Linked DNA regions of Mus musculus: regions 1, 2, 3, 4, 6 and 7 are each reported to be linked to region 5. Evidence: microRNA targets listed by miRTarBase, many of them from high-throughput screens and not tested one by one. Region 5 holds a microRNA gene; each other region holds the end of a gene's coding sequence.

Region 1 (4,772 bases), not on the chromosome of region 5:
ATGTAACGTTTGTGAGCATGGGACCTCCCTTCGTTTATTGCTGCATTTGGAAAGAATGAATGTCTCTGTCTCATTACACACTTTGCCTTGCAATCTTGCTGTCTACTCTGCTGGGCAGCGGGGTTGTATCCTGTTCACCTTGGTTTCCAATCCCTCCCCAGCTCTTTTAAGTAACCTGGAGTGACTCTGTAATAATCTTCATATGATTGATCTTAACAGAAATTCTCAAGACTACCCATCCTTTATAAAATTCAGAACCATTTTATCATTTACCACCCCCAAAAGACTGCCCTGAAATCATACATGAACAGTTCTGCTACAGAGTATTGGAGGCGTCTCATTGTTATAATAATGCCCAAGCAGCTCTGGCCGCCAAGTCGATCATGATGGCAAACTCTGAGAGTGTGGGATTTTAGAATTGTGGTCACGTTCCATCATGGGGTTCTTTCTGTACCATGTCTCTCTTCACAACTGAGAAAGCGTGGAATGACTTATTTAAGTCATTGATTTAAAGTATCTTAAAAAAAAAACAACAAACACAGATGACACATTTTAATGTATATTAAAACATGAATGTAAAACTATTTGCTGTATTTTACAGGTGAGCAAACTTGAGTTTAAAGAGAATTTTGGCAACTTGTTTTCAGTTAGTCGTTGTCTAAGCTGTATCTGAACCGGAGCTATTTCACAATAGCAAGCCACACTCCTCAGTGTCTGACTCTCCTGATTCACATAGCACAAGGTTTTTATTTGTTTGTTTGTTTTTAATTCTTGTCATATTCCATTGTGATGGTGAATCTAAGGAAAGTCATTTTAAAAGTGTGAAAAATCTTCAGGACACAATGAGGGCATTATAAAAACAAGTTAGCTCTATATAACCAACACTCTGGGTTGATAACTTAATGGAAAATTTATTTCTTCATCTATACCAGTGGTTTTCAAGCTTCCTAATGCTGTGACCCTTTATTACAGCTCCTCATGTTGTGATGACCCCTCCCCCTCATCATGAAATTTGTTGTTGCTACTTCATAGCTGTAATGTTGCGACTATTATAAATCTTAATGTAAATATCTGCTATGTAGGATATCTGATACGCTACCCCAGTGACTTGTCTGACTCCCAAAGGTGTCATTTACTCCCAAAAGGTTCACAATTCATAGACTGAGAACTGTTGATCTATATCAACGGTGTGTGGTGTGTATGTGTGTGTGTGTGTGTGTGTGTGTGTGTGTGTGTGTGTGTGTGTGTGAATAAAAGAGGGAGAGGAAAAGAAAGGGAGGAAGAGACTGAGGAACTGAGATGGGTGGAGGGAGGAAGAAATAAACGGGGTGGGATGGGAGTGGTGTGGGGTGCATATGAAGACTAGCCTGGAACTCCATATAGCCCAGGCTAGCCTTGACCTCACACTGATACTCTTATTTTAGCCTCCTTTGTGCTGGGATTACAAATGTGCACCATCACACCCAGCTCCAGGCTTCTGGATGTTGGTAGGGAGAGACCAAGTGATTTCAGATGATTAATAAACATATAGGCACAGTTACTTGCCCTGGTTTCCTTTGCAGGACCACGACCTTCAGGTCTCAGGTCTGCTGTCCCCTGAAAGACTAAAGAAGGGAGGAGAGACCATTAAAAGGCACTAGGGTAGATAATACAGAGATAATGTCTTTCGAGAACACTGTAGTTGAGTGAATCTTTTAAAGCTAAGTAGAGGTTGACAGTGTATTTGTAACAAGAAAAAAATTGAAACTGGTTCAGAATCACCAAAAATCACAGTGGTATTTTGGCATTAAGCAGTCAATAATAAAAGTGCAATAAAGGACAATTTTTAGAAATCCTTCTGCTGGCCTGCAGCCATAGCTGAAGGCTGTTTGGACCCCCCCACACACACACTTGTGGGGAAGCCTCATGTTACGAGCTATGTAGCAGAAAGGAAAACAGCAGCAGCGACCACAACATCAACATACAGTTACTTTACATGTAAAACAGATAAATATACAGACGAGGTATAAGAAATGAAAATAACATGTACACTAAGAACATCCCAACACAAACCGGCTTTATTTAAACCAGACAAGTGAATTCTTCCATTAGCATCAGCTTCTTCAAGACTCAAGGATATGGAAATGAAGAGCGGGGCTCCACAAGGTAGAGAGGTGAAGACTGACCAAGGAGTAGCCTTTCAAAAAGCCCTTGGAAGGGAACCCTTGATCCAAAAGATCACTAGATCTCCTGTTACGGCGTGTGTACAACATCCTCATTTGAAAGTGACCCATCTATCTTAATGAAAACCTCTCAGGATGAAATGTCCATATATGCGAGCGTATCATAAATTATATTAAAGTTTTAGAAATGAAATAAAGTACCGATCTCAGTTTAAATACTAAAACAGAAATCAGGAAAAAAAGAAAAAGAAAAAGAAACAATCTTCAACATTATTACTTAGGATATCTCGTTACACCCTTCCTAGGTACAAACATATATAAAACAGACCATTATTTCTAACTGATATCTCGACCCAGTACTTTTGCCCTGAGTCTGGGGTGATCAATCAGATCAGCTATGGGAGCCCCTCCAAATTTATACAGGGGTTTGCTGCCCTTCATACGGCATATGCAAATGAGGGCAAGTCATCTCAGACTATTACAGTGTAGTGTAAAGTAAATCCGATGGGACATGACAGTGGTGAGGGGTGTAAGAAGACAAAGATAAAACTGCACACAATGTTCAATGTTCGCCACTTTCATTAACCCCTTCGTTTAAAGTCTTCTCACAGGGTCACATGTTTAGAACTGCAGATATGTGTTTAACTTTGTGTTGAGTTGGTCAGCACCTTGATTGACAGGAGCAATTACAATGAGAAAAGCATACAGACAGAGAAGAGAGAAATCACGAGGAACAAAAACAGAAGGGGGGGATCCTTTTTTCTTTTCTTTTCTTTTTTTTTTGTCCTAAGACATTGCAACAGAAAAGATTTGAGAGAGAGAGAGAGAACAAAGTGTTCACAGTGCAACATACCAGATTCGTAGTTTCATTTGAAACCAACAGCAAATCATGAAACGTCATGAAAAAATATAAGTAAAGGCAAAATCTCCTAGAGTAATTACTAAATGAAGTTAAAATTACCACACTGATCAGTAAACCCCAGAAGAAAAATGGACAGCGCTTTCATTTCAGGCCCCTCTGAATGAACATCATACAAGTTTTCAAAGTTAATGCATGAAATTGGTTAGGTTTGGCCACGCTGCACAATTTCTTGTTTTTTTTTTTTTTAAAAATACAGTATACAGAAAAAATTCTTATATTCCCCATTTTGTATCATAAGCTTGAAAGCTAAGAGCAAAAGGTCTAGGATTTTAGGTTATTTACAAATACAGCAGGTTCATCCACCATAGTGGCTTGGTTTCTGCCCCACGGAGATGTCACCTTCTCTGGCAAGGCCCGTCAGTCCTCTGTCCGCACGAGGGGCTGTTCCTCTACTGTGTATCGGTCATTTTGAACAGTTCCAACAGGGCCCCAACAGCTCCAAAATAACCCTGCAAAAACACGGAGAACTCCTGTAGGGTTGTTCCTGAACCGTAACCAAAGAACTATTGCGTTCATTAGTTCTAGGAAGGCTGCCCTGCACTTTACAGATCTATAACATTAGAAACGGAACTCATGACAGGAGATATGGGTTAGAGGCAAGGCCTGTGTTTAGCACAAGCAAGTCTACACAGTTGATCTCCCTAAACACAAAACAAACACTGATCTCTTGGATAAAAAAAAAAAAAACTCAAGACCAAGTAATCAAATAACTATCACTAGTCTGAATGTATATTTATCTATATTAATATAGAAAAGTGCTTAGGACTGTATCTGGCACTGCCTTCTTATAAAACAAAAGCTCATATTTCTGATAATGAAGGTTTCTAAAACTCAGCTATATTAGGAAATAGCGTCTTAGTCATTGGCTTGCTATATGTAACAAAATACCACACTCTGAGTGGCTTATAAAATAAATAAACACTATGACTTCATCTCATAGCTTTTTGGATGCAGGGCAGTCCAAAGTCAAGGTGTTTGTGAAAGCCAGGCTCCTGGCAGACTCGGTCGTCACCGTGAACTGGCACAGCAGAGAGTGCCTCTTTTATAAAGGCACTCATTCCTTTGTAGAACTCAGCCCTGGTGACCTAGTCTCCTCCCCAAGGTCTCACCTACTGACACTGTCATCTTGGGGATTAGGATTTTAGTGTATGAAGGGATGGCATACAAACATTGAGTCCACTAGCTACCTGGTGCCCAAAGGGCTAGGGAGACACAGCTCCTGTTTTGCCTGCCTCAGCAGTTACCTTAGAGATGGCGTGGATCAGTCAGGACCTTTAAGGCAGTTTCTGAATTCTTATCACATGTTAGAAATTTTTCCAAGCACTTTACATTTAAGTGTAAATCACTGTCAATCACAGGGACAGCTCCTACTGACTTCACACGTGTTGGATAACCACACAGAAGTGCTGCTACTGGGTCATTGAATTCTAACTTTGGGTTTTTCTAAGAAATTTCCCATACTGTTTCCTATAGTCATTTGTTATCATTGTTTATTATTATTGCTGTTGTTGGTATTATTATTTCCAAGTGACATTTTCTTTTCATTTCAGTAACAGTCTTCAAATCTCCACTGTTGGCTAAGAAAACTTCCATTATATACATGACATTTTGGCAGGTGGGGTGGGTAGGGTAATAAATACCAAGTTTAAAAAGCAATTTTCTACTTGATCAATTTTAAAATACAGATC
Region 2 (4,772 bases), not on the chromosome of region 5:
AATTCCACGAGAGAACTCCTAAACCTGATAAACAGCTTCGGTGAAGTAGCTGGATATAAAATAAACTCAAACAAGTCAATGGCCTTTCTCTACACAAAGAATAAACAGGCTGAGAAAGAAATTAGGGAAACAACACCCTTCTCAATAGTCTCAAATAATATAAAATATCTTGGCGTGACTCTAACTAAGGAAGTGAAAGATCTGTATGATAAAAACTTCAAATCTCTGAAGAAAGAAATTAAAGAAGATCTCAGAAGATGGAAAGATCTCCCATGCTCATGGATTGGCAGGATTAACATTGTAAAAATGGCTATCTTGCCAAAAGCAATCTACAGATTCAATGCAATCCCCATCAAAATTCCAACTCAATTCTTCAACGAATTAGAAGGAGCAATCTGCAAATTCATCTGGAATAACAAAAAACCTAGGATAGCAAAAACTCTTCTCAAGGATAAAAGAACCTCTGGTGGAATCACCATGCCTGACCTAAAGCTTTACTACAGAGCAATTGTGATAAAAACTGCATGGTACTGGTATAGAGACAGACAAGTAGACCAATGGAATAGAATTGAAGACCCAGAAATGAACCCACACACCTATGGTCACTTGATCTTCGACAAGGGAGCTAAAACCATCCAGTGAAAGAAAGACAGCATTTTCAACAATTGGTGCTGGCACAACTGGTTGTTATTGTGTAGAAGAATGCGAATCGATCCATACTTATCTCCTTGTACTAAGGTCAAATCTAAGTGGATCAAGGAACTTCACATAAAACCAGAGACACTGAAACTTATAGAGGAGAAAATGGGGAAAGCCTTGAAGATATGGGCACAGGGGAAAAATTCCTGGACAGAACAGCAATGGCTTGTACTGTAAGATCGAGAATTGACAAATGGGACCTAATCAAACTCCAAAGCTTCTGCAAGGCAAAAGACACTGTCAATAGGACAAAAAGACCACCAACAGATTGGGAAAGGATCTTTACCTATCCTAAATCAGATAGGGGACTAATATCCAATATATATAAAGAACTCAAGAAGGTGGACTTCAGAAAATCAAATAACCCCATTAAAAAATGGGGCTCAGAACTGAACAAAAAATTCTCACCTGAGGAATACCGAATGGCAATCACATCATCCTGAGTGAGGTAACACATTCACAAAGGAACTCACACAATATGTACTCACTGATAAGTGGATATTAGCCCCAAACCTAGGATACCCAAGATATAAGATACAATTTGCTAAACACATGAAACTCAAGAGGAATGAAGACTGAAATGTGGACACTATGCCCCTCCTTAGAATTGGGAAAAAAACACCCATGGAAGGAGTTACAGAGACAAAGTTTGGAGCTGAGATGAAAGGATGGACCATGTAGAGACTGCCATATCCAGGGATCCACCCCATAATCAGCATCCAAATGCTGACACCATTGCATACACTAGCAAGGTTTTATTGAAAGGACCCAGATGTAGCTGTCTCTTGTGAGACTATGCCGGGGCCTAGCAAACACAGAAGTGGATGCTCACAGTCAGCTAATGGATGGATCACAGGGCTCCCAATGGAGGAGCTAGAGAAAGTATCCAAGGAGCTAAAGGGATCTGCAACCCTATGGGTGGAACAACATTATGAACTAACCAGTACCCCGGAGCTCTTGACTCTAGCTGCATATGTATCAAAAGATGGCTTAGTAGGCCATCACTAGAAAGAGAGGCCCATTGGACACGCAAACTTTATATGCCCCAGTACAGGGGAACGCCAGGGCCAAAAAGGGGGAGTGGGTGGGTAGGAGAGTGGGGGTGGGTGGGTATGGGGGACTTTTGGTATAGCACTGGAAATGTAAATGAGCTAAATACCTAATAAAAAATGGGAAAAAAAAAGAGAGAGGGAAGGGGAAGCTGTGATCAAAATATACTGAATGAAAAAAATTTCAATTTAAAAGGGGATGGAGTAGATATAAATTGTATGTCTAGTGTGTAGTTCAAAATTTAGCACATAGGTTTCCTAACCCACTTCTAGTATTGTTTTCTCTCATGCTAAATAACATATAACTCTGAATGATAAACTTTCAGACAGGAAAATTTATTTCTAAGGTAGAAGTATTTAATAGAATTATAAAAAAATAACACTATGTCAAAATCAGAGTAAGTAATCATGTGTATAATTTCCCTTTGCATACCTATATTCAATCATGGTTTCTAGCCATTCTTAAATTAACAAAGAATACAGAATCAAGATAGTGTGTCAACAGAAGTGTTGTATTAAAGCTATCAGCCCCAGAAAACAGAAAACACAAAGTGAATTCGTGCAACCACTTGCAACTTTGTTGTGCATGAGAAAGTACACTACTGAAATAAACCACAATCAGGACACTGTGGGCAAATCAGCAGGCGAAGTCTGCCCTTTGCATTTAGAATTCCCAGGTTTAGCCATCCTGAAGGGGTAAAGATAAAAACACAATGCTATATAAAGTATCAGCCGTTTACTTTCTGCAGGATTTCTCTGAATTTCAGATTCTGGAGTCAGAAGGTACCTTTTCACAGACTCCTGTAGATTTTAAGTTAAGCAAGATCTTCCCTAACAATAACACAGTTACTACTATCATTTCAACACCACTGTCACTGATGCAGAGGATATTTCCCCCATCTCTCAGTCTCAAATGACTATTCTTCACTTAGAAATCAATCGACAATTCATTGGGTTCCACATCATGGATTTCTGTTACCTTTTTGGCACTGGTACCATTTTTACTAGCTTCTATCATTCTCTTACATAACATTTCAGTACATGACTGAAATGGTTAGTTCTGTATAAAAACTATGACAACAGCTTCAAAGAAGGGAGAACTAAAGCTTTCCAGTCATGTGTTGATTCTTGAAGGCAACTGCCTTTCAAAATGACACATTTTAAACAATCTCAGATGCTCCCAGGTTTCTAAGTCTCAGTCTATTGATAGAAAATACCATTTGAATAACGGACCTACAATCTCCACCACTCCCTATATTCAACATACTACATAGTAATGTCTCACAGTTAAAATGGTTTTGGCCGTTTAAGTATCTAACCACATAAATATCTAAAGTTTTAATATTCTAAAACTATAGAACATAGCTATAAAGATGCACAGTTAGGCCAAGTGTACAGTTTTTCAAACTTGGCACTAATGACATCTTGGACTGGGTAATTCTTTCTTGTGAAGACAACTATGCTAAACATGGTGAAGCCTCTCCTGAGGCTGGTAGCATCCTACACCCATTTACTTTGACCACCAAATAACATCCCATAGTCCCAAATGTCTTCTGGGAGCCCAAACTCCACTGGAGAATCACTGGATAGAAACTTTACTACAGACATCATTGTAAACTTGGGGTGCACAAATAAGACAGGGCTCTATGCAGTATTACTAATGTGGAAGTGCCTATCAGATCCTCTGCTATTCTGTTTGTGTTGGGCAGAGCATTTATATAGTACACTACTGCAGCACACAGCTACCAATGTATTCCTATCTTTTTCCTACTAAAAACACTGACATTAAACAGGGGTGGTGATGGGGTAGCTAATCCAGGACCACCTTTGCATGAACTGAGGGGGAAAGCTACAATTCCTCATTGTTTGCTAAGCCCAGGAACAAGAACAGTCAAGGCAAATGCCCTTCTTTCTGAATCCGCAGTCTCTCCTTCTCCACCTGCAAGCGCTCCTTTTCTATCTGCAGCTTCTCTGATTCAAACTTCAAAAATTGCAGCCGATCTTTTTCCAGCTGTAGACGTTCGCGCTCAAGTTTCAGCTTCTCTGCTTCGATGTCCTGTGGCTGCAGCATGGACTTCTCGCCCTGGCCCAGCTCGTTCTCTAGAGCCGGTTTCTCGGTGCTGACCAGCTGCAGCCTCCACTTTTCTCTCTCGATCTGCAGCCTCTCCTTCTCCAGCTGTAAGCGCTCGTGCTCCAGGTCCAGGTGGCGCAGGCGCTCTTTCTCTATCTGCAGCCGCTCCTTTTCCACCTGCAGCCTTTCCGCCTCAATATCAAGTCGGCGTTTTTCCAGCTCCAGCTTCTGTTTCTCTATGTTCATGAGCAGATGGGGCTCATCATAGGTGGGTCTGGATGGTGTGGAATTGAGGGTGAAAAACTCATCAATGTGAGGGAAGTCAGGGAGCTCGTTTTCCCTCCTGGAATCTGGTATGACAGATGACAGCATCTCTTCCTCCTCCTCAATCTCAAACTGACAGAAAAGAAAAAAAACGCGAATTTAGTATTTGCTTTCGTCATTATCAGTTTGCTCCATTACTGGTCTTTTAATTACTATTATTTCATTTCTTGCTTATTTGTGTACATGTATATGTAAGTGCAGGAGAATGTGGGCCATTGCGCAAAGTAGGGTTTTTCTTGTTTCCCATGAGGCAAGCTTGAAGCTAGCAGACTGGAGGCTTCAGGGCTATTCTCCTAGGTCTGTCATAGCAGTGTTGCTGTTACAGATGCATGCCACAGCAGTCAGCTTTGAAGGGAAGTTGCAGAAATGTCAGGTTTGTGCCATTTACACACTGAACCTTCTCCCCAGACCTGTCTCAAGATTGTTTGATGGCCTTTCTAGGCTGTTTGAGCACAAAAAAGTTCTTAATCTCAACTATTAAAATGATTTAAAGTACCCAATGTCACTACCTTGTATCACTGAGGTAATTGATTACATTTAGCTGAGAGAACAGACATTAAATAAGGTCACCAGGAGAAAACAAAAGGATTGTTATCTATTGTCTGTGGTCTTCCTCAGCATGTCTGGAT
Region 3 (3,000 bases), not on the chromosome of region 5:
GACAAAACCCCACCAGGTATTATCAGACTTACCCTAGTCTAAAAAGTGCCAAACATGGCCTCAAAATAGGCAGATGGCATTTAAAGTAACATTTCTGATTGCCCATACATATCCCAATATTTAACCTGGTACTGTCTATAGGTCAGTGACTTTAGTTACAATTATTAATAAATATGGCATATACACACAAGCATTTCTTTATATAAAATATTTGATACCAATTTCTAGGCAAGGCTTGTTGGTAACATGAGCTTCCTTTAGTCCTCTTTCTTATGGGGAGGAGAGCTCTCATCTGCAGGATGACCTGGGACTGTGTGGAATGCACAGATGCCTAGGAAGTGGCCCATCCAACAGGAGGCGCTCCACAGTTTCCTGCCCACTCACACCCAGGAGCCCACAACATCCCCAATAATGTTCAAGATGAAAAATTAAAGACAATATAGCTGATTCTATAAAAAGAGGTGAATTATCAAAGATGCCCATTTTTAGTTATCATTTGAAAATAGTTTGCTATATTTTGGCTTTTGAGTACAAAATTGATAATATAGGTTTGTATCAAGGTGTCCCACACTCACAAAAAGCATTCCACTTGTGGTTTAAAATTCCTAACTGACCACCTGCGGGGGTTGGGGCTGCTACAGCTTCTGGAACAAGCAGCTTAGGACCTTGCTCTTGGTGCTCCTAATGACAACAAAATCACCCATAAGCCTTCATTTTATAAGCCTCAAATGACAGTATTAAAAACCCTGTGGGCCACAGGCCTCAGCCAGAAGAAGAGCACAGCTTACCCACTTACAGCTCTTCTAAGGAACAGGGGGCAGAGGCTCCTGTCAGTCTCCCTGGTGTCTCCGCCTTTCACACCCGCAGCTCAGTGGGGCAGGAGCCAGAGCTCTCTTACTGCTATAGCTCTGCTTTCTGCACTCAGAGCTGGGACATTTCTTCTTTTTCTTTTGAGTTGAAGATGTATCAGGGATGGAACCTATCTCAGGGTTAAGACTTTCTCCCCAGCCTCTGGGTACTGTTAGTCTGACTGCAGAGCAGGAGGCCTGACTCACTGACAGCGGAGGACAGCAGGGTGACACCTCTGCTTGGCGTCTGCTCTTTCCTCTGGCTACCCTGCCAATCAAGGCAGCTCAGGCTCTGCACAAATACTTATGTTTTCTTCCCTTTCACCCTCTACCCCATTTGAAGAGCCATATCCCTGTGTAGCACTCCAGAGAAATCTAGAACATGAGAGCTGTTTCTAGACATGTTTTCAGAGAGGTTAGAAAACCTCTAGAAGATATCAGATATTAATATTTCCTTTTTGTTCAGATTCGGGAGCTGTGCTAATCTTGAGGTTTTATGTAGAGTGTTTCAGGAGAAACAAACAGGATGGTCTTCCAGGTCACACTTACCCTGAGTCATGACAACATGTGGCCGTGCTGAACAAAATGCAGGTGACTACCATGGTCTCGCTCTCATCGTCCCAGCCACCCAGGGGGCGCTAGGAAACCAACGTTAACCTTGAGCTGGAGGCGACTTGTCCTTACTACTTTGGGGCCACAAAAGACCAGTGCCAGGACCTCTCCTAGCCCCCGTGCTCTGTGTCACTCAAAACGGCATCTGTGCTACAAAGCTAACGTGACCCACAAAACCACCACCAAAAGATGCCACTAAGGAACTGACCTCAAGGACAACTCCTGAAAGCCAGCTGGGATCCCAGGAACAGCAGTGAGACCCGGTCATCCCACAGTCACTAATAAAGCTCCACTGACCCTACCCAAAGGCACATTTGGTAAGCAATAAGAAATGGCTTAGCGTAAGATGAGGATCTTTCAAAATAAACTGTAGACCATCCCCTGGCTCCTACCAAATATAAACTCAATATAAACTAAAGAAAGCAACACTCCTCTTTCCGGGCAGCATTTCCAACTTGCTTTTCAACTTGGACACCACAAAAAAGGGGAGTGAAGGCAAAGGCAACCAGACTGTGCAAGTTCTGAGTCCTAAAGGCAGCACTTATGGGTGGCAGAGCTGGTGCCAGATAGAGGTGGGGAGGGTGGGACAGGGCGGGGTCACTGTGGTGCAAGGACCTGTGTGGGATGTGCCTGAGGGACGGCAGCTGCACACTAGCACCGGAGAGCGACAGTCATCCCAGGAAGAGCTCAAGGCTATACCCAAATGATTCCTACACAAAGAAAAGAAGAGCCCCTTTTGGCTATCTGTTTATGTCCAAAGAGAAACCCAAAGTGCCAGACTTCATAACAGGGAAAAGAAACCTGATTACTTGAGATCACATTATGAAATAAGACGGTAAATCAATAGCTTTCATTTGGAGCTTATAACAGTTCTAGAATTTCTGACCAAGGCTGTGTGGGAAAGGTCGGCCCTTCCTAAAACCCTGTTGTGGTCCAGCAGTGGTCTGCAGGTCCTCAGGAAGGCACTGTGATGGAGGCAGGAGCAAGGGCTTCTGTTTGTGCTTCTTTGTTGTTGCTTTTTCTTTCTTTTCATCTTTTGAGGTGGAAATACTTCTTGTGACAGTCAAAGCTCTTTCTTCACTCTTGCTGCTCACACAAGCAGTCCCATGCGAGTGACTTTGGCGGATAAGAACGTGTGCAATACAAATACAATCGGCTTTGGACAAGAATGCAGGTCCATAGTCTGTGGAGAAGAAACATGAGTTGTCACTGTAATTCTCTCTCTCCTTTCCTTTCTTTCTTTCATGTACATCTGGTGTTTGTCCTACATATATATCTGTGTGAGGGAGTCAGATCCACAGGAATCTGAGTTAGAGGCATTGTGATCTGCCATATCCATGCTGGGAATTGAACCTAGGTCCTCTAGAAGAGCAGCCAGTGCTCTTAACTGCTAAGCCATCTCTCTAGTTCTACACACACTTTATAAACAATGGTATTAAATACATTTAGATGTGATGTTTCACTTTTGTTTTGTTTTGCTTTTAAAAAGCAATCTTAGACGGGCGTGGTGGCTTACGCCTTTGATCCCAGCACTTGGGAG
Region 4 (4,638 bases), not on the chromosome of region 5:
CTCGAGGCCTCTGGGAGCCCTACCGGTTCAGGCGTGGAACGAGGTTCTAGTCTAAGAAAGACTGGATGCAGGTGAGCCATGGCCAGCACTTGGAGACAGTGTCAGCTGCTGGGCACTAGACCTGTCATGTCACCTTCTTAGCTGTCCTCAGGCCCAGGATGCTAACCTTTTCTGTTGGTAGAGCAAGATTGCTTGCTGCATCTTATGCAAAGATGTGCTTTTCTGTGGTGTGCTGTGCCCCCTGGTGGCAGCCTGCTTGTCCTCTAGAGAGTGGGCTAGAGTCACAGAACTGACTGGTACCTGTGGGGCAAGGAGCTGCTCGGACAGCTAGGCACCCCTTATCTGATGTCCTCACTGTCTCTTCTTAGAGACAATGGCAGGTAATGTCAGCTCCAGAAGAGGTTGGGAGGGAAGATTCAAGCCAGAGGGCAGGATTGCAGGCTGTGTAAATGAGGCAGGGTGGGGGTGAGCAACATTGCAAGGCTCACATGAAAACTCCCTGTGTAATCCAAGCTAGCCCTAAGCTCCTGGCTGTGTCTGGTCTCAGCCTCCCAAGCATGGAGTTATGGGCATCAGCCACTGCTCTCCTGTAAGATTCCTCTTCCTGCATTTGTGCCTTTTCCTTTGAACATTGATGAGTCCCCACAACCTCTGACCTGTCTTCATAACCCTCTCACAGTGTACCCAGAATGTAATACCTAACTTTATTCCAGAGAAAGTTAGCAAGCAGGAACAAAACTTAAATGCTCCCATGTTTCCTGCTCTGAGCAGCCTGTCAGACAAGACTGTCTAGCCAAGTGAGCGCATTTCTCTATTGATTGCCCTTGTTCAAGAGAGACATGACTTCAGCTAGAACTCCACTGAGTGCCTGATAAGCTAAAAGGTTATTTTGTCCCTGGGATGATATCTTCAGGTAGTCAGTGCTGATGCCTTGAAGATGTGCAGAAGAGGCTGTAGAGAAGAGCTCTCAAAAAAAACAAAAAACAAACCAAGCAGTGCCCGGAGTGGTGGCACACCCCTGTACCGCCAGTGACTGGAAGGCAGAAGCAGAAGGATTCCTCCTGACCAGAGTGCTCTCCACAGTAGACCGAGGGTTCCAGGCTGACCAAGGCTACGACATAGCAGAACTGTGTCTCAAAAAGCCCCCAAGACTGCCCTTAATCACTAGCATGTGTTAAACTGGTTCCTGCAAAGTACTTTGTGTCTATTTGTACCCTTCTCTGAAGGACCAGTCTATCCCAGCATGCCTTGTGTGCAGCCCCACGTATGTCAGGTTTCTCTTGTTTGTTGATGGTGTATCACACAGATCACTCACTGCCACCATAAGCAGGCAGTCTCTCCTGTGCACTGTGTATTTGAATAGATACACATGAGATGGCAGTTCTTAGGTCTCTCAACACTGCTCATAGCAGGATGGTGATGCTCATTATATTAATTATTATTATCATCATTATTATTATTTTAATGAAAATAACTGTGACTTTGCCTCCTAACCAGATATTCTTTTGTGTTTTCTTCCAAAGCATCAACGACAACTTTCTTTGCCACTTACCCAGTCTAAGTCATCTCCCAAAAGAGGATTTTTCAGGGAAGAAACAGATCATTTAATCAAGAACCTCCTAGGCAAGAGAATTAGTAAACTTATTAACTCTTCCGATGACCTCCAGGACAGCTCAAGGGAGTTCTACGACAGCTGGCATAGCAAGCCCACAGACTACCACGGCCTGTTGTTGCCTCACATTGAGGGGCCGGAAATCAAGGTGTGGGCTCAGCGCTATTTACGTTGGATTCCAGAAGCCCAAATCCTGGGTGGTGGCAGAGTGGCCACCATGGGCAAACTCTTAGAGATGATGGAGGAAGTGCAGAGCTTGCAGGAGAAGATAGAGGCAAGACACCACAGGCAGGAGGCTGTCCATGCAGAGGCACCCGGCCTGCTCAGGAACTCAGTCCGCCTGTCTTCCTTGTTCCCCTTTGCACTGCTCCAGCGACATTCGGCCAAGCCTGTCTTACCCACCAGTGGCTGGAAAGCTTTAGGAGGCGAAGATGACCTGGCCAAACGAGAAGATGAGTTTGTGGACCTAGGGGACGTGTGACCTGTCTCCTCAGGGACTGTGAAAGAGGCACACTGTATGGTGGGACAGTTGTTCCCTGGACTGGTGTCACGGTGTTAGCCCAGTGGTGTGAAGGAAAGAGCAGAGGCTTTTGGGAAGAGAGCTTGTTCTCCTTTTCTTCCACAGTTCTGGAAGACATTCAATGAAAGCCATGCCTCTAGTATGCATAGGACGGAGTTCCTCCTTGACCTGTCATAGGATGGGGTCGTCTCCTGACATCTGTATTATATGTATACAGAATGGCTCACGGCCAGGCTGCTGTGAGAGCTCCCTCCTGTTGTTTCTGTGCCAAGATAATTATGTAGCCATTCCGAACAAGAGGTATTCAGGGATGTGCTTAGACCATAGCATATTCCTTGACTTAAACCATAGCATATTCCAATGCGTGCGTGTACACACACACACACACACACACACACACACACACACACACACGCAGCCCATAGAGAACTTGGACAGTTCTGCTGGTGTCATCCATCCTAATGTTCAGCCCCTCCTTCCTGGGCTGTAACAACACAGGATGCGGGCAGCCTCCTTCCCTTTTCCTTTGCTGTCACTCCCACCTTCCCTTTTCCTGCTCTATGCATACCATCCTATGAGTCTACCTTGGTGTGCATCGTCCCAGGGTCCTGCTGCTGTGACCTGTTGATTAAACTGGGGGCAGTCCTCTGTCTTCCACAGGGGAGCTCATTCCTGGAGCCCTCAGTTTTGACCACACATTTGGCCCTCTGCTCACCACACCTGGACTGTGCCTCTCTGCAGCCCCTCAGCTGGTCCCCTTGCCTTCCCCGTTACCCTCACAGATGCTGGGGTGGGCAGGCCAATTCGAATGTGGCTTTCACAGGAAAGCGGTCGTGTCAGAAGCAGTTATCACTCATATATGCCTCAGCGATGTCAAAAGCCATAGAAGAAACCCAGCTCTGCCTAGTCACCTTGGATCTGCTGTCTTAAAGATATATATTTTTTTAATGTTTGAAAGAATCCTTTGTAAGGCTCAGTCCTATCATTCTCAACAGAGCCCTGTTCAGTCCCACAAACGGTGTGAAGAGTGGGAGTGGGCGAGGGACCTCATTGAGTCTGCCTCAAGTGTTTGCCTTTTATCTATATTTGCTGGTCAGGAGAGGTCCTGTTGAGGGCGTCTCTGTTGCTCATGGGCAATAAGACATTTTGAAACTTCACAAAGAATCCTTTCTGATTGCACTGAATCATCTTTCATACATAATGATAATTTTTCCTCGTCTCCCTCCATAATAATGCACAATCCGGGTTGGTGTGTTGACCCAGCAAGTTGAGGGGAGGTCAGGATTTGTGTTTCTGGGGACAAATGCACTCAGTCTCGGTTGCCTTAAGAGTCTTTCAGGCCAGGTTCGTGCTAGGCTTGCGCTAGGAACTTAGAACACACCAGTCCTTAGCTCCCTCTCCCTGGGCTCCTTGGGCTTCTCTAAACTAGCACTAACCGCCACGCCCTGAGCCTCTGCCACACCCTCAGCCTCTGCCTCCCAAGTCCTCAGCGGAGAGAACTATTTTTGTTACCATATTATAACGTGAATGTTTATATGGTAGACTCTACAGTCTTAGTGATTTTCTTTCCAAAAAATGCCTCTTGTGATGTTTTGTACTTCACAACGTATGGTTTAAAGGCACATGGTCATGACCCTTGGTATAGCAGTTGAATGTGCATTAAAATATTTTTCTATTTTTTTAAATCACAATAGAAAAAGTAAATAAGCTGTTATGACCTGTGTGGTTATGACTTATGTATTTATATTTGAAGCCAGATTTCTATAACTTGGATTTGTGTACAGAACTTCCCGTGGGTTTATATATTGTGTATTTTTATTCAAGATTGAGATGTGGATTATGCTTAACATTAAAAGATACAATAAGACCATTTGTTTAAAACACACTGTGCAAGTTTGGAAGTGTCTGTTAATAATTTACTGTGTATAACACTTGCATTTGTTTATACCTCTATGTTTTTACACTGAAGATAAACTAGCTTTAATTAAATTTTAAAAATTTAAGGGATTAAGCTATTAGACTGAGTCAGCTTCACTGTGCAGTTTATTTTCTGGGTGTTAATGAAAGTTTATACATGTCTCACTGCATTGGAGCTGACTGCAGAGATTAAAGCACAACTTTGAAACAGCGCCATGGTTGGTGTGCACGGTCTGCTCCTAGTTTATCCTCCTCATTCGTTCAGGACTTGATAAACGTGTCCTGGGTTCTGGCAGGCCCCACAGCAGGCAGAGCCCAGGGAAGCACAAAGCTGTGCTTTCCAGGAACCCCCACACCTCCACCCTTTCCTATCCTCTGCGTATATGCATGTATGAACACTCGTGTGGTTGGCTGGTGATAGGCAACCAGCATCCAGACAAATACTCAAAATTCCAAATGATAATAAGATGCTCTGAAGAGGGTTGATGAGATAGATGGCTCAGCAGGTACAGGAACTTGCCACCAAGTCTTAGGGCCCTAGTTCAGTCCCCAGGACCCAACAGAAAGAACTGACCCCTTTAAATTGTCT
Region 5 (4,772 bases):
CAAACTTAACTACAATTAGGCACCAATAAAATACTAAGTCATAGCACAGGAAGTATCTCATTATTTTGTTTCTGTAATTACTTCAAACATTAGTGACTTAAGAAAATCCTACATACTTAATAGAGAATTTACTAGCCTCCATCTCTTTTCATTAAGATTTCATGTCATCACAGCAGTTAAAATCCATGTTCTTGACCACTCTTCACCTCCCAAGGAGAACAGAAGCCCCACCTCACTGGTGTAGGACCAATGTTATCACTGTATTTTCCCTAATGAAATGGAAGCTTAGGGAACTAGCTCAAAGGTGAAGTATAATTCAGTAAAAAAATTCTAACTAAATTGAACCTATGTAATGAGGTCCCCAAAAAGTAATAAAAGGCTTTCAAAGTTGGGAAATTCCAAGGCACAAAGAATGACACATAGTGATACCTCTCCCTTCTGATGAGAACTCAATGTTCAGATAGGTAAAACCAACACATACCTACCTAGTTTTTCCACTTACCAAAGACAGGGCAGTGTTAACATTAACACATGAAACAGAATGAGAAAGTGGGGTAAAAAATGTGCCTGAGTCCTTTCAACTTTATGAATTTGAAACTTAAAATAGAACCGGGCGTTTTTTTTTTTTTAACCTATAGTTCTTTGGGCGAGCACCATCAGCACCTGAGACTGGGTTACAAAGGCAAATCCTGAGGGCTCACCTGATGACAGTCACTCTCTGGAGATGGGACTGGCAGGGTTTTCAGTAGTGATAAAACCAAAGACTCAACGCAAACTTAAATTCCAGTTATATTCAAATGTTCCTTCAAGACATACCCTATAAAATTTGTTTTCAGCTCAGTGGGGGAAGGGCACTTGCCATCGGGCCTAAGAAATCTAAGATGTATGTCCATGACCCACATGACTAGCTCCCTACAGTTGTTCTCAAATCACCACATGACACACACACTAAATAAGTAGATAGATAGATAGATAGATAGATAGATAGATAGATAGATAGATAGATAGATAAATGTATGTAAATGCTGGAAGTCTAGGAGTGGAGGGGTGCCTACCTTTAATCTCAGCATTCTAGAAGCAGAAACACACAGATCTCCGCAAGTTCAAGGCTAGCCTAGTTTACAAATTGAGTTCCAAGCTAACCAGAGCTACATACCAAGACGCTATTTTAGAAAAGCCAATAGTATTGCTAATTTAAAAAGAGAGCCATTGCCATATCCAGGGATCCATCCCATAATCAGCTTCCAAACGCTGACACCATTGCATACACTAGCAAGATTTTCCTGAAAGGACCCAGATATAGCTGTCTCTTGTGAGACTATGCTGGGGCCTAGCAAACACAGAAGTGGATGATCACAGTCAGCTATTGGATGGATCACAGGGTCCCCAATGGAGGAGCTAGAGAAAGTACCCAAGGAGCTAAAGGGATCTGCAACCCTATAGGTGGAACAACAATATGAACTAACCAGTACCCCGGAGCTCTTGTCTCTAGCTGCATATGTATCAAAAGATGGCCTAGTCAGCCATCACTGGAAAGAGAGGCCCTTTGGACTTGCAAACTTTATATGCCCCAGTACAGGGGAACGCCAGGGCCAAAAAGGGGGAGTGGGTGGGTAGGGGAGTGGGGGTGGGTGGGTATGGGGGACTTTTGGGATAGCATTGGAAATGTAAACGAGGAAAATACCTAATAAAAAAAAAGAGAGAAAAAAAAGAGAGCCCCAGGCTGGAGAGATGGCTCAGTGGTTAAGAGCACTGACTGCTCTTCCAGCGGTACTGAGTTCAAATCCCAGCAACCACATGGTGGCTCACAACCATCTGGAATGGGGTCTGATGCCACCTTCTGGTGTCTATGGAGACAGCTACAGTGTACTTGTCATATAATAAATAAATAAATAAATAAATAAATAGAATCTTTTAAAAAAGAAAAAAGAAACCCATTTTTTTTCAGACTTATATATCAGCTTTATTTTGCAAATTTCAGGTTTGTTTACATTCAGTGCAATCAAAATGTCAGGATTTCAAATATATTTAAAAATATGTAGTTTTAAAAAATTAGACTCCAAGCTGGGCGTGGTGGCGCACGCCTTTGATCCCAGCACTTGGGAGGCAGAGGCAGGCAGATTTCTGAGTTCGAGGCCACCCTGAGTGAGTTCCAGGACAGCCAGGGCTATACAGAGAAACTCTGTCTTGAAAAACCAAAAAAAAAAAAAAAAAATCCACTCCAAATGTGTTCAAAGCAATGACTAGCTAAAGGATTTTACAATCTTACTATAGCACTGATAGACGGCTGTCCACATAGGTCCTGCGGTTTACAGATGGATACCGTGCAATTTTCCTCCTATTACACCAACCAAAATTGCATCGTGTTCCACCTGATAACAGCAAAACAGTTCATTTCATAATTACAGTCTAACATAACTTACAATACTCAGAAACTAAAAGACGATTAAAAACCCTCTTTCTTCCTCAGGCCGGGACAAGTGCAATACTTTATATCTAACACAAGTAATGCCACCAATCCCCACCTGTGGATGAATGGGCATGGATGCTGAAGATGTGCATAAAGGTGTCCATTACGATGCAGAAAGGTACACATTCCCACAATCAGTTTTGCATGGATTTGCACAGCCATATATTCACATATACGCTGAACTGCAAATCTGCAAAACTAATCGTAAGTAGCAATGTCCTTGCGCTGTAGTTGCTTCAACAAGACCTTGGTTGATCCAGGAGTACTAGAAGTGCTCACACTGCAGTAGAGTGGTATAAAAACTACCTGCACTATGAGCACTTTGGCACTACTAGGATCCGAGCTTGTTCTTCTACACAACTGTATACTACAGTCTCCGCCATCTGTTTCTCGGCGAAACACTGAAAGAGCCTTTGAAACTTGTGCCGTTCAAATCATTTCTCAAGATATGCTTTTCAAATGCAAGGTAAGAAGTAGCCTGTGCGAGAAGGGGCATTTAGGGCAGTAGATTGTAAGCTGCTTCACTAACAGCACTAGATGCACCTTAACACAAGAGACACATTACAAGGAGCAGCTCAAAAACATCCACAATCTAACTATGCAGAAACCAGGGGACTCAGCGGCCTCTGATTAAATCACCATGGTAATGTAAGAAGTGCTGGCACTGCAGTAGAACTCAAAAAGCTACCTGCACTGTTAGCACTTTGACATGGCCAAGGCATACTCCAGGAGTGTAACCTTGAAGTCTTCCACGAACTCTTCTTTGCCAGATCTGCAGACTCACCTGGATAAACACACACACACACACACAGCAAGTAAGTGAACTGTGAGTTACTATTTCTAAAACAAGTTTGCCTTCCGTTAAGAGTGCAAATGGGGTTGTGTTACTTCAAACATTAATAAGCTCAATTATTTACACAGACTTAAACATGAATAACACTGGCAATCTCAGAATGTCTGACTCTTAAGAGTAAGAGGATTTTGGACTCCCTCTCCGTCTAAGGAAATTTGAGATTCGCATCCCAGAAAATTTGCAGAGCTGTAATATCCACCATGGTTTTCTAAGAGGCAAGAGCCCAGGAAAAGATGTAAGCAAAAAAATAAATAAATAACATTAGGGTGAGTACTGACGTCTTGAGCTCATCCAGAGCTTTGGGGAGCCACTCGGAAGGTCTCTATGTTTGATTACATGAAGCATCCCTGCCCCCAGCCCATTAAGAGAAAATGATAGAAATTTCAGAGCCGCTTTAAGAAACAGTTTTACACTCTTCACATACCGCACAGATGGCCTAGAGATGTCACATTTTCATCTATTTCAAAGGGCTCTACTTCTGTTTAAACATTTATGGACCCATTTTCTCCATTAAACCTAAAGAAGTCAGATTAGCTCTTTGGCTTCATGTCATTATCTTCCACAGGAAAAACCTCTCTCATTTCCAAGTGTGTATCTTACCCAGGAAAATGCTGCAGAGGACAGTCTGAGGGGTCACGAGCTCCCTCCCTCCCATGATGGAATGTTTGTGTTGATGGGGGGACACCAATAAACTTCAGGGACACAAAACTTGAAATGTGTTCAATGAGAAAGGATATTTTAAATGTTGGAACTTTTCGAAGCCACTTAGTGACTAAGATAGTTCTTAAAACATTTTAAATATAAATTAGCAAAACTTTTGAAGTAAATATGAAATCTGCTTCCTATAGTGCAAGTATTGGCTTATTATACTTTTCTTCTTGAACTGGGTTCCTACAACTAGAGATTTTTGCCTCCACTAAAAATATATTACAAAACCTGACTCAACTTCGCAAAACCATACCTCAGCCCTCCAGAGAAAGCTCCTTCTAGCTAATACCTTTCTTTAACACATCTGCTCTCCATCATATATACTAGAAAGTCGCTGTACAACTTCTAAAATTGCAAAGAGGACCCAGTCTTTTACCATTTCGGGATTTTCTCTGGTCTATTCCCGCATCTTCAGCAGCGGCTCCAGTAGAGATCTGTGAACCTCCTGGGAACGCAGGGTGTGCTCCAGCCAGTCATGCCACGCGCTTAGGTCTTCAAGACACCTTAGCGGCCACCAAAATTAAACAGAAAGAAACAAAGCATTATGGGAAACGGAGTTCTCCATTCAAAGCCCCCAAAACGCGCCAAGCTTAAGCCTCTCCCTCCATTCTCGGGTTGGTGGGAGGGAAACCAAGGTAGGTCGGGAGTCCTCCCGCCCCACACCCCACGTGCACCCTGGCATTTGACCACCCACAAGTTCTCCAGAAACCTTCAGAGCAACAAGGGAGAGTCCTTTTCTCA
Region 6 (4,772 bases), not on the chromosome of region 5:
GCCTGTCTGTCTGTGGGACTCTGCTCCTGAGTGCAGTGCTTACAGAAGCCAGAAGAAGGCATTCAGAGTGAGTTCTGAGAACTGAACTCAGGTCCTCTCCAAGACCAACAGATGTTCTTCTTTGCCGAGCCATCCCCATCCCCACCCCATCCCATCCCAAGAAAGTAGTCTCTGTGTTTTGGTTGGTTGGTAAGTGTTTGTTGTCCTTCCTTCCTTCCTTCCTTCCTTCCTTCCTTCCTTCCTTCCTTCCTTCCTTCCTTCCTTCCTTCCTTCCTTTTGGTTTGGAGTGTGTGGGGGTGGGGTGGGGGTGGAAGAGTTTTGGGACAAGGTTTCTCTATGTAGTCCAGTCTGACCTGGAACTTGCTCAGTAGTCAAAGGTCCGCCTGCCTCTGCCTCCCAAATGCTGGGATTAAAGGCATGTGCCACCACACCCAACAACAACAAAAAATAGATATTCTTTAAGTAACTGTTCTTCTTTTATTAATGGTAGAATTTTTAAAGTTCAGAAACATTTGAGTAATGAAGTTAGAGTCCCCCTAATACCTAAGGGTAACTGTTAGCACAGTGCACCTCACTCTAATCCTGTAGTCTCAGCACTCTAGTTACACACTGTAGTTTCCCCAGGGCAAGGAATAAAAGAGTCTTTCTAACTTCCTCAAGTCTAACATAATATCATGGGCTTTTCCCTGTGCCACTCAATTTCAAACCTTTTTAATGGCTTCGTGGTATTTCCTGAGAGCTTAGGCATAATTTGAAGTATCTCTCAGTTGTTAGACATTTAGATCGGCTTGGTTTTTCTCTTACTGTTAGGAATATGTATACATTTTCATGTATATAATTACACCCTCCTCCCCCAGTTTATACCATGGCAGTACAGCTTGCTTCTAATATACAAGCAAGTCTGAAATAGAGGCGATTCAAAGAAACAGACAAACAAAAACCTTTCATAGCATGAATTGAATATTAAGATGTTATGTAATTTCTTTTTTAAACTTTTTCTTCCAGCATTCGGGTTTCAACCTGGAATAGACTGAATTATCTAAAGAATGGAGTACTAAAGTCTGCCTTAAAATCTGCCATGGCCCATGACCCCATCTCCCCTGTGCTCTCCGATCCACACTTGGACACTGTGGACCAGCGGCTTCTGAATGTCTTGGCCACCATCAAGCAGTGTACTGACCAGTTTGGGACGGATACTGTGCTGGTGGAAGACAGGATGCCACTCTCCCACTTGTAATTCTCAACGCAAAACAAGTGGAACTGATTTTACAAAGATAGAGAAACAGCACAATCAATTCCAAATGGCATGCGATGGTCTGCAGGTGGCCACAGTGGGTGCTGGTGGCAGAAGACGGTGGCGGCCCTGGGAGTGCTCGGTGTTTTCTGCAGTGCAAGCTACGGACCACAGTTAGGCTGCCTCACCTCTCAGGCGGCCAGCAGCAGCTCTGCTCAGTCTTTATTCCCACACCAAAGGGCGAGCAGGTGTGACATTGGCTAAGGAAGTGTTTCCAGAGTGTGCGTCTCGGGTGACCCTTGCTGTCTTTTCTCTACACCCATGGATTCTCTGAAAATACTTTGCAGTTCCTTGTGTCTTAAAAAAACACAAAAACAAAAACCAGAACTAGTCAGATTGAAACCATACTGTTCCTCCAGAGCGGCGTTAGACAGGATAGCGGTCCGCACCGGGGGCCGTGTTTAAGGGAGATTGGAGGAGGGGAAAGGCGGAAAGGTCTTGGGACTCTAAGCTATTGGGTGGCATGGATTTGACATCTCAGGGAAGAGAAGAGGGAGGGACTCACTCTTTAGAACCAGGAAGATAATTGACTTAGTGAAAGACAGCTTCCCCTCTGTTTAGGTTCTCAGATATGTCCAGAGCAAATTAGTCATCCCCCGGTTGTGTTCATATTAACCACAATCATCTCTAGAGGAAAGAGTATTACAACCCAGGCATGATCCTCTATGGACACTAACTTACCCCATGTCCACCTTTGCCCAAAAACACTGAAACTGTGCTCTCTGCCACCTGCCCCCCACGCTTTTTCTTTTTCTCTCTTTGGCATTGTTCATTTTGAGGTAGACCATAGACTCTAGCCCAGGCTGATCTGGAGCTTACTGTATAGCCCAGGCTTTGAACTGGCCTTAGCCTTCCACATGCTAGGATTATAGGTATGAACCAACATGCCCAGCTCTCTCTTCTCTCGTGAAGTCATACCCTGTGAGTAACTGGCCTGTAATGGCGCTCTTCCTAGGACAGTGGTGACCTTGTCTGTGCCGGTGACTGCACCCTGCAGGTAACAGTGAAAGCTTTTAAGCCTCTGAGCCTCGAGACTGGGGAGATTGAGTTTATACCCCCTAGTCTCTCACATTCAAATCTAGTAGCCTGTAACCACTTTTAAATGGCTTGAAATTAGGAAACTTGTACATTTAATGTACACTTTGCGGTAGATTAAGGAATATACTGCATATTTCTTTTTTTAAACTCGGGATATTGAACTTCAGAAAACAAATATTAGCACAAAACACTAAAATAGTGTTAACAAAAGGAGATATTGAGCCAGGCAGTGGTGACACGCACACCTTTAATCCTGGCATTTGGGAGGTAGAGGCAGTCAGATCTCTGTGAGTTCAAGGCCAGCCTGGTCTACAGAGTAAGTTCTAGGACCAAACCCAAAAAATAAAGCAAAAACAAAAGGAGGTATTAAGTCCAGTTTCCAGGCTACTTGCTGTGTACATCAAGAAAATTCAGTTGAATTCTGAGATTAGCATGGTTATTAGCACTTTATGCTGGGAGCCAGCAGAGTGGTGGACTTCCGTGCTGACTAAGCTGTGGCTCAGCATTCCATTGCACACTGGTGAAGTGAGTAGGGATTGTTCCCAGGCAAGCAGCCGTACTCGTCATGTTTTCTGCGGAAAAGAACAGGCAGGAAAGCTGCTCCGAGCAGTTAGAGAAAAGCCGCCTCACACTGTGTTTCACACTCGGGCAGTAAGTATTGTAACGCCGGCCTCTTTTTGGGTCATTTACTAGATTAGGACTATTACATCCAAGGCACTGGGGGATTCTGGTGGGCTCCAAATTAGCTTTACTGATTGAACATCCACAGAGATGGAGGCATTTAATACAAAACCAGGAACTCCGAATCCATTGCTCTTTCCTCCTTTGCTTTCACTTCTTAAGTATATGTGTTCTGAAGTTGAGATGGGAGAGATTTGAATATAGAATTTTTATTCTCAAACTGTTTAGTCATCTAAGGCTTCATTGTACTTCGGGGAGAGCTATAAGTAACTCACCTTTAAAACAACAGGCTCTGATTTGCTGAAGAGGTTTGGTATTTTTTAAGGTATGTCTCCCTGTTTGCACTCAGGGTTAAAGTGTCAGACTAAATTTTTAGAAGAAAACAGAAATTCAGGTGTGTGTTCATTATAGGTTATTCAGCAAAGTGGACCCTGACAGTTTCTCGGTTTCCCCAGTGCTGAAGACAGCATTGCCATCCAAAGAAACTCACATTTTCTTTAAAGCTATCACACTTTGTCTTCTTATCCCCTGCTTCCTGTTCCTTCAGCCTCCCTTCCCTTTCCTTCCTGGATCTCTGATTATCTTGTGATCATAGCACCTGCTGTCGGCACACTCCCGTGAGTCCTGTGGTCAGGGTTTCAGGATAGGAGGTGGAGGTTTGGGTTAACGTGGGAAAATGTTCTTGCTTTGACACAAGGAAGTACTGAGTGGCTGCACCGAGAAAGGACTTGGCTAGTAAGGTTAGAATGTGCATCGCGCATAGCCGAGCAGCCTGCTAGCAGGTGACACACTCCGTGGGGGAGGCTCTTCTCCCCTTCTTTCTCTAGTCTGGGTGGTGAACGGGCTGACACTGCTGTCACTGGTTCTTAGGACCTAAGGTGGTCCTCATAAACTCCTGGGGGAAGCTGGGAGCAACTTCCTGGGAAGCTAATTTATTTGTCTAAAGGGTGGTGTGGGCATCACCACCCTTGTTTGATCTGCCTTGGATTTCCTCTTGGAGCTTATGTGCAGATAGAGGTTGTACTTGGTAAGATTTCTAATGTGTTCTATGGGTTTCAATTCTGAAAAAAAAATAAAAGATTTTAATATATATTATTGTATAATGTCTTCTGGTTAATCTCCCCCCACCCCCAACCCCATGCTTTCTATGCCATTTCTATTCCTACTGCTGTTTTTTAGGGAGAGAATGTTACATCCTTTATTTCTGCTTAACCTTCCATAGGGACTGCTTCCTGTGGTTGAGAGCCTTAGACTTCCTTACGAGCTTTTGAACGGCCCACATAGATTGTACCTGTTACCTACAAGTCGTCCTAGGACTAGTCATAGGACTAGTCGTCACGGGACTAGTCACAGGACTAGCTGCTAGTGTTTCCTGGATGTTCAGTAGTTTCCTTCTTCCTTGTAGCTTCTTGGAGATGAGGAATTATGAGTCCTAACTAGGACTTGGCAGCGCACTACACTACAGACAAGAAGAAAGGACCAGTTTCCCTGATTAGAATTCTTAGAATACCCAGAATTTACATTTTTGAAATGGAAATCTAGTATCTAACCCCTCAGCCAGACAAGTATCGTTTAGATTTCCTCTCCATGTGCTGCATAAGTGTGCCAGCCTTGTCATTGTATTTGAACAAGGCACATGGAGACCAAATTCTGGCATGCGTTCCAGTTCACCACATACAGATTGTATCAGTTTTCTATTATTGTGATAAAACATCATAACCAAGGCAATTTATTGCAGAGAAAGTTTGTTTGGGTTTAC
Region 7 (4,772 bases), not on the chromosome of region 5:
AACAGATCTCCCAAATTCTTAGGACCTTGATGTCATTAAAATTTAGAATGACAAGCTTAAGAGGCTTTAGTTTCATTTGTTTTTCAAGTAATGAAAAATAATTTCTTACATGGGCAGATAGTTAATTTGTTGAACAATTACAGGTAGCATTTCATGTAATCTGATGTTCTAAATGGTTCTCTTATTGAAGGAGGTTAAAGAATTAGGTTTCTTACAGTTTTTGGCTGGCCATGACATGTATAAAATGTATATTAAGGAGGAATTATAAAGTACTTTAATTTGAATGCTAGTGGCAATTGATCATTAAGAAAGTACTTTAAAGCAAAAGGTTAATGGGTCATCTGGGAAAAATACTGAAGTATCAAAGGTATTTGCATGTGAATGTGGGTTATGTTCTTCTATCCCACCTTGTAGCATATTCTATGAAAGTTGAGTTAAATGATAGCTAAAATATCTGTTTCAACAGCATGTAAAAAGTTATTTTAACTGTTACAAGTCATTATACAATTTTGAATGTTCTGTAGTTTCTTTTTAACAGTTTAGGTACAAAGGTCTGTTTTCATTCTGGTGCTTTTTATTAATTTTGATAGTATGATGTCACTTCCTATTGAAATGTAAGCTAGCGTGTACCTTAGAATGTGAGCTCCATGAGAGCAGGTACCTTGTTTGTCTTCACTGCTGTATCTATTCCCAACGCCTCATGACAGTGCCTGGCACATAGTAGGCACTCAATAAATACTTGTTGAATGAATGAATGAATGAGTACTGGTGGAATACTCCCATTAGCTCTACTCTTCTTTTAGCCTAGAGAACATGAGCAAATTTGCACATGACAACTCCAAGGACAGGTGAAACTTGAACACTGAAGAATTGGCCTCTTAAGCCTAATAATGTGCTGACAAGCTGCCCACATGCTTCTTGACTTCAGATGAAAGTCTGCTTGAAGGCAAAACAAATAATACTTGAAAGAAAAATCAAATGCCATTTTTGTCTTCTAGGTCGTGGAGGGCCCCCAAGACCCAACAGAGGGATGCCGCAAATGAACACTCAGCAAGTGAATTAATGTGATACACAGGATTATGTTTAATCGCCAAAAACACACTGGCCAGTGTACCATAATATGTTACCAGAAGAGTTATTATCTATTTGTTCTCCCTTTCAGGAAACTTATTGTAAAGGGACTGTTTTCATCCCATAAAGACAGGACTGCAATTGTCAGCTTTACATTACCTGGATATGGAAGGAAACTATTTTTATTCTGCATGTTCTGTCCTAAGCGTCATCTTGAGCCTTGCACACAATACAATACTCAGATTCCTCACCCTTGCTTAGGAGTAAAACATTATATACTTATGGGGTGATAATATCTCCATAGTTAGTTGAAGTGGCTTGGAAAAAAAATGCAAGATTGAATTTTTGACCTTGGATAAAATCTACAATCAGCCCTAGAACTATTCAGTGGTAATTGACAAAGTTAAAGCATTTTCTTTGAAAGGAAGATGGAAGGAGTGGAGTGTGGTTTAGCAAAACTGCATTTCATAGCTTTCCCATTAAATTGGAGCACCGACAGATTAAAAGCATACCAAATTATGCATGGGTCCTTACTCACACAAGTGAGGCTGGCTACCAGCCTTGACATAGCACTCACTAGTCTTCTGGCCAAACGACTGTGATTAAAACACATGTAAATTGCTCTTTAGTAGTGGATACTGTGTAAGACAAAGCCAAATTGCAAATCAGGCTTTGATTGGCTCTTCTGGAAAATATGCATCAAATATGGGGGATAATCTGGATGGGCTGCTGCTGTGCTCAATGTGAACTATTTAGATACCTTTGGAACACTTAACAGTTTCTCTGAACAATGACTTACATGGGGATTGGTCCTGTTTGTCATTCCTCACCATAATTGCATTGTCATCACTAATCCTTGGATCTTGCTGTATTGTTACTCAAATTGGTAATAGGTACTGATGGAAATCGCTAATGGATGGATAATCATAACACTTTTGGTCACATGTTTTCTCCTGCAGCCTGAAAGTTCTTAAAGAAAAAGATATCAAATGCCTGCTGCTACCACCCTTTTAAATTGCTATCTTTAGAAAAGCACCGGTATGTGTTTTAGATTCATTTCCCTGTTTTAGGGAAATGACAGGCAGTAGTTTCAGTTCTGATGGCAAAACAAATAAAAACATGTTTCTAAAAGTTGTATCTTGAAACACTGGTGTTCAACAGCTAGCAGCTAAAGTAATTCAACCCATGCATTGCTAGTGTCACAGCCTTTGGTTATGTCTAGTAGCTGTTTCTGAAGTATTTTCATTTATCTTTTGTCAAATTTAACCCTGTTTGAATTCTCTCCTTTCCTCAAGGAGACACTTATGTTCAAAGTGTTGATTCTTTGCCTTAGGTGCATAGAGAGTAGACAGTTTGGAGATGGAAAGGTTAGCAGTGACTTAGCCATATGTTCTGTGTTGGAATTTGTGCTAGCAGTTTGAGCACTAGCTCTGCGTGCCTATGAACTGAATGCTGCTTGTCCCATTCCATTTTATGTCATGGAGAAATAATTCCACTTGGTAACACAAAGGCTAAGTTAATGTTATTTTCTGTACAGAAATTAAATTTTACTTTTAGCCTTTTGTAAACTTTTTTTTTTTTTTTCCAAGCCGGTATCAGCTACTCAAAACAATTCTCAGATATTCATCATTAGACAACTGGAGTTTTTGCTGGTTTTGTAGCCTACTAAAACTGCTGAGGCTGTTGAACATTCCACATTCAAAAGTTTTGTAGGGTGGTGGATAATGGGGAAGCTTCAATGTTTATTTTAAAATAAATAAAATAAGTTCTTGACTTTTCTCATGTGTGGTTATGGTACATCATATTGGAAGGGTTATCTGTTTACTTTTGCCAAGACTATTTTGCCAGCACCTACACTTGTGTGCTTTAAAAGACAACTACCTGGGATGTACCACAACCATATGTTAATTGTATTTTATTGGGATGGATAAAATGTTTGTGGTTTATTGGATAATCCCTAGATGGTGTGTTACGTGTGTAGAATATAATTTTATGATAGTAAGAAAGCAAAATTGAAGAAAATAAGTTTAGTATTGAATTTGAGTTCTGAAGTGAATTCAGGGAATGTCTCACGTTTCGGGCTTCTACCCAAAGTGTAGGGCAGAAGGTGTAAAAGTTGTTTGTAGTTTGACTTGTTTATTTTTTAAGTTGCTTATTCCTTTCAACAGCAACATATCATTAGCTGTCATTCTACCATTGCAGTTCTAGTGAGTTTTAACGTCTGCATTCAAGACTGTTTTAAAAGCAACCTCACTGGACAGAGAACTGCTAAAGTCTTTTCCTTAAGATCTGAGTCTTTGTTACTCAGTATCTTCTATAATATGCAAATGCTTGTCTAGAGGCAGAAGACCTTTTGTTTGGTCAAGTGTGTATTTTACCAGAGTACAGGGAACTGATGGTCCTACATGTCTCTTAGTGTAGTAAGACTATAAAATCTTTTGTACATGCACAATTCACAGTATGTTTAGATACCACGTGTATAATGCCCCCCCCTCCCCCAGGTAGCATGCCATTGATGACTTTTTGCTTAGGGCCATTTTATTACCAGGGCCTTAATATTCCTAAAAAGATGATTTTTTTTCATCCTTTCTCCTCTTTTGATCATTGTATCTTGATATTAAAAACATGACCTTCCAATGATTGTAGTAAATTAACTTCTATAGTTCTTTTGTCTCTATATGTATTCATATATATGCTATTGTATAGAGACTTCAAGGAGACATGGAGATGCATGCTTATTCTCAGGTTCATTCACTAAGGTGCTTGGCAGACAACCAGTTTCTAAGTGCAGAATGTAGTTAAGCAGCTTCATATATGTGCCAGGCAATTTGTTTTGTTAAATTTTCATCTACTTAAGGAAATAGGGTATTGTAGCTTAGGCTGATCATACCCTTCATTTCAACCTTAAGCTCTCAACCTGCATCCATCCGACTTGAGCTATTAAGTACTTTAGTTTTATCGAGTATAAGTTAACAGAAAAAGTAAATTAAGCTTTGCCTTTACTATTTTGAATTTATATACATTCTGGAAAAACTTAGAAACTGTTGTATATTTCATTAGATTAAATTATATGAAAATGTGATTGTTTATAGCAAAGCCTGTGAGTTGCATACACCCTAAGGAAAACTCCTTAAGTGCTCCTTGAAGAGAGAAGAAACAATTCTGGGTCTGGTCTTTTTAAGAACAAAGCTAGACTACTGTATGTTAGCACTGTACATTAATAGTCTGTTGTGAAGCTTGAGCAGTTTCCTGCATAGCCTTGATCCTTCACCGTTGGCATTGAAAATAGCAGTATCCCTGATGTACTTAAAACTTAAAGTCAGGTTTTGGTATATTTATTTGTAAGTCTTAATTTCCTCTAAATACTATATCTCTTTAGCGAGACAACCTGAAATTTATTAGCACATTTGGGTATCTCTTGCTTGGCATTATGGCCAGTGTTAACTATTCAGTGGTGAAAAAATTACCCCTCAAGACACTGGAGTGACCCCAGATGTGTGTAGTAAGTGGCATGGTTCAACTGTGTGGTTAATGATAAATATATGACTTAGTCGGTATGATCTGGAAAGACTTGATTGAAAGATAATTCAGCTGACATAAGGATGAGTGAGGAGTGGCAAACTGGATAAAAGAGTCAAGAGACCTGTATTCCAGTGACTCCTGTTTTGTTTAAGCATTAGCAAGATCTGTCTGGGGAAACT

What was found. Region 5 holds the annotated microRNA mmu-miR-19b-3p (UGUGCAAAUCCAUGCAAAACUGA, at 2,605-2,627, opposite strand). A microRNA usually pairs through its seed, bases 2 to 8, with sites in the 3' UTR of a target mRNA and lowers its output. Matches are read on the target gene's strand: a 7mer-m8 pairs with bases 2 to 8, a 7mer-A1 pairs with bases 2 to 7 and ends in A, and an 8mer does both.
Region 1: miRTarBase lists Pank1 as a target of mmu-miR-19b-3p. The part of its 3' UTR that is shown has no 7-base or 8-base seed match.
Region 2: the mRNA of Msantd4 is a reported target of mmu-miR-19b-3p. The part of its 3' UTR that is shown has no 7-base or 8-base seed match.
Region 3: miRTarBase lists Sntb2 as a target of mmu-miR-19b-3p. Seed matches in the 3' UTR shown: 7mer-A1 at 1,972-1,978.
Region 4: miRTarBase lists Mtmr12 as a target of mmu-miR-19b-3p. The part of its 3' UTR that is shown has no 7-base or 8-base seed match.
Region 6: miRTarBase lists Fam20b as a target of mmu-miR-19b-3p. Seed matches in the 3' UTR shown: 7mer-A1 at 2,843-2,849 and 7mer-m8 at 3,352-3,358.
Region 7: miRTarBase lists Caprin1 as a target of mmu-miR-19b-3p. Seed matches in the 3' UTR shown: 7mer-A1 at 1,292-1,298.

The regions. Positions count from the first base shown.
Region 1 is chr19:34,808,855-34,813,626 of GRCm38, forward strand. It overlaps Pank1 (pantothenate kinase 1), which reads right to left. Exons shown (of 7, transcript NM_001114339.2): 7 at 1-3,533. The coding sequence ends at 3,474. Among named protein-coding and RNA genes, the nearest start is that of Mir107, 9.5 kb to the right of the region's middle.
Region 2 is chr9:4,384,182-4,388,953 of GRCm38, reverse strand. Msantd4 (Myb/SANT-like DNA-binding domain containing 4 with coiled-coils) reads right to left here. Exons shown (of 3, transcript NM_145609.2): 3 at 2,064-4,215. The coding sequence ends at 3,640. Among named protein-coding and RNA genes, the nearest start is that of Msantd4, 10 kb to the right of the region's middle.
Region 3 is chr8:107,010,935-107,013,934 of GRCm38, reverse strand. It overlaps Sntb2 (syntrophin, basic 2), which reads right to left. Exons shown (of 7, transcript NM_009229.5): 7 at 1-2,643. The coding sequence ends at 2,551. Among named protein-coding and RNA genes, the nearest start is that of Gm22085, 2.8 kb to the right of the region's middle.
Region 4 is chr15:12,267,979-12,272,616 of GRCm38, forward strand. It overlaps Mtmr12 (myotubularin related protein 12), which reads left to right. Exons shown (of 16, transcript NM_172958.4): 16 at 1,524-4,262. The coding sequence ends at 2,093. Among named protein-coding and RNA genes, the nearest start is that of Gm52210, 50 kb to the right of the region's middle.
Region 5 is chrX:52,739,387-52,744,158 of GRCm38, forward strand. It overlaps Mir19b-2 (microRNA 19b-2), which reads right to left and starts at 2,680; the gene lies at 2,597-2,680. It overlaps Mir363 (microRNA 363), which reads right to left and starts at 2,381; the gene lies at 2,307-2,381. It overlaps Mir92-2 (microRNA 92-2), which reads right to left and starts at 2,542; the gene lies at 2,452-2,542. It overlaps Mir20b (microRNA 20b), which reads right to left and starts at 2,806; the gene lies at 2,727-2,806. It also overlaps Mir18b, Mir106a and Kis2.
Region 6 is chr1:156,677,876-156,682,647 of GRCm38, reverse strand. Fam20b (family with sequence similarity 20, member B) reads left to right here. Exons shown (of 8, transcript NM_145413.4): 8 at 1,006-4,077. The coding sequence ends at 1,237. Among named protein-coding and RNA genes, the nearest start is that of Tor3a, 5.9 kb to the right of the region's middle.
Region 7 is chr2:103,763,090-103,767,861 of GRCm38, reverse strand. It overlaps Caprin1 (cell cycle associated protein 1), which reads left to right. Exons shown (of 19, transcript NM_016739.3): 19 at 999-4,772. The coding sequence ends at 1,063. Among named protein-coding and RNA genes, the nearest start is that of Nat10, 4.2 kb to the right of the region's middle.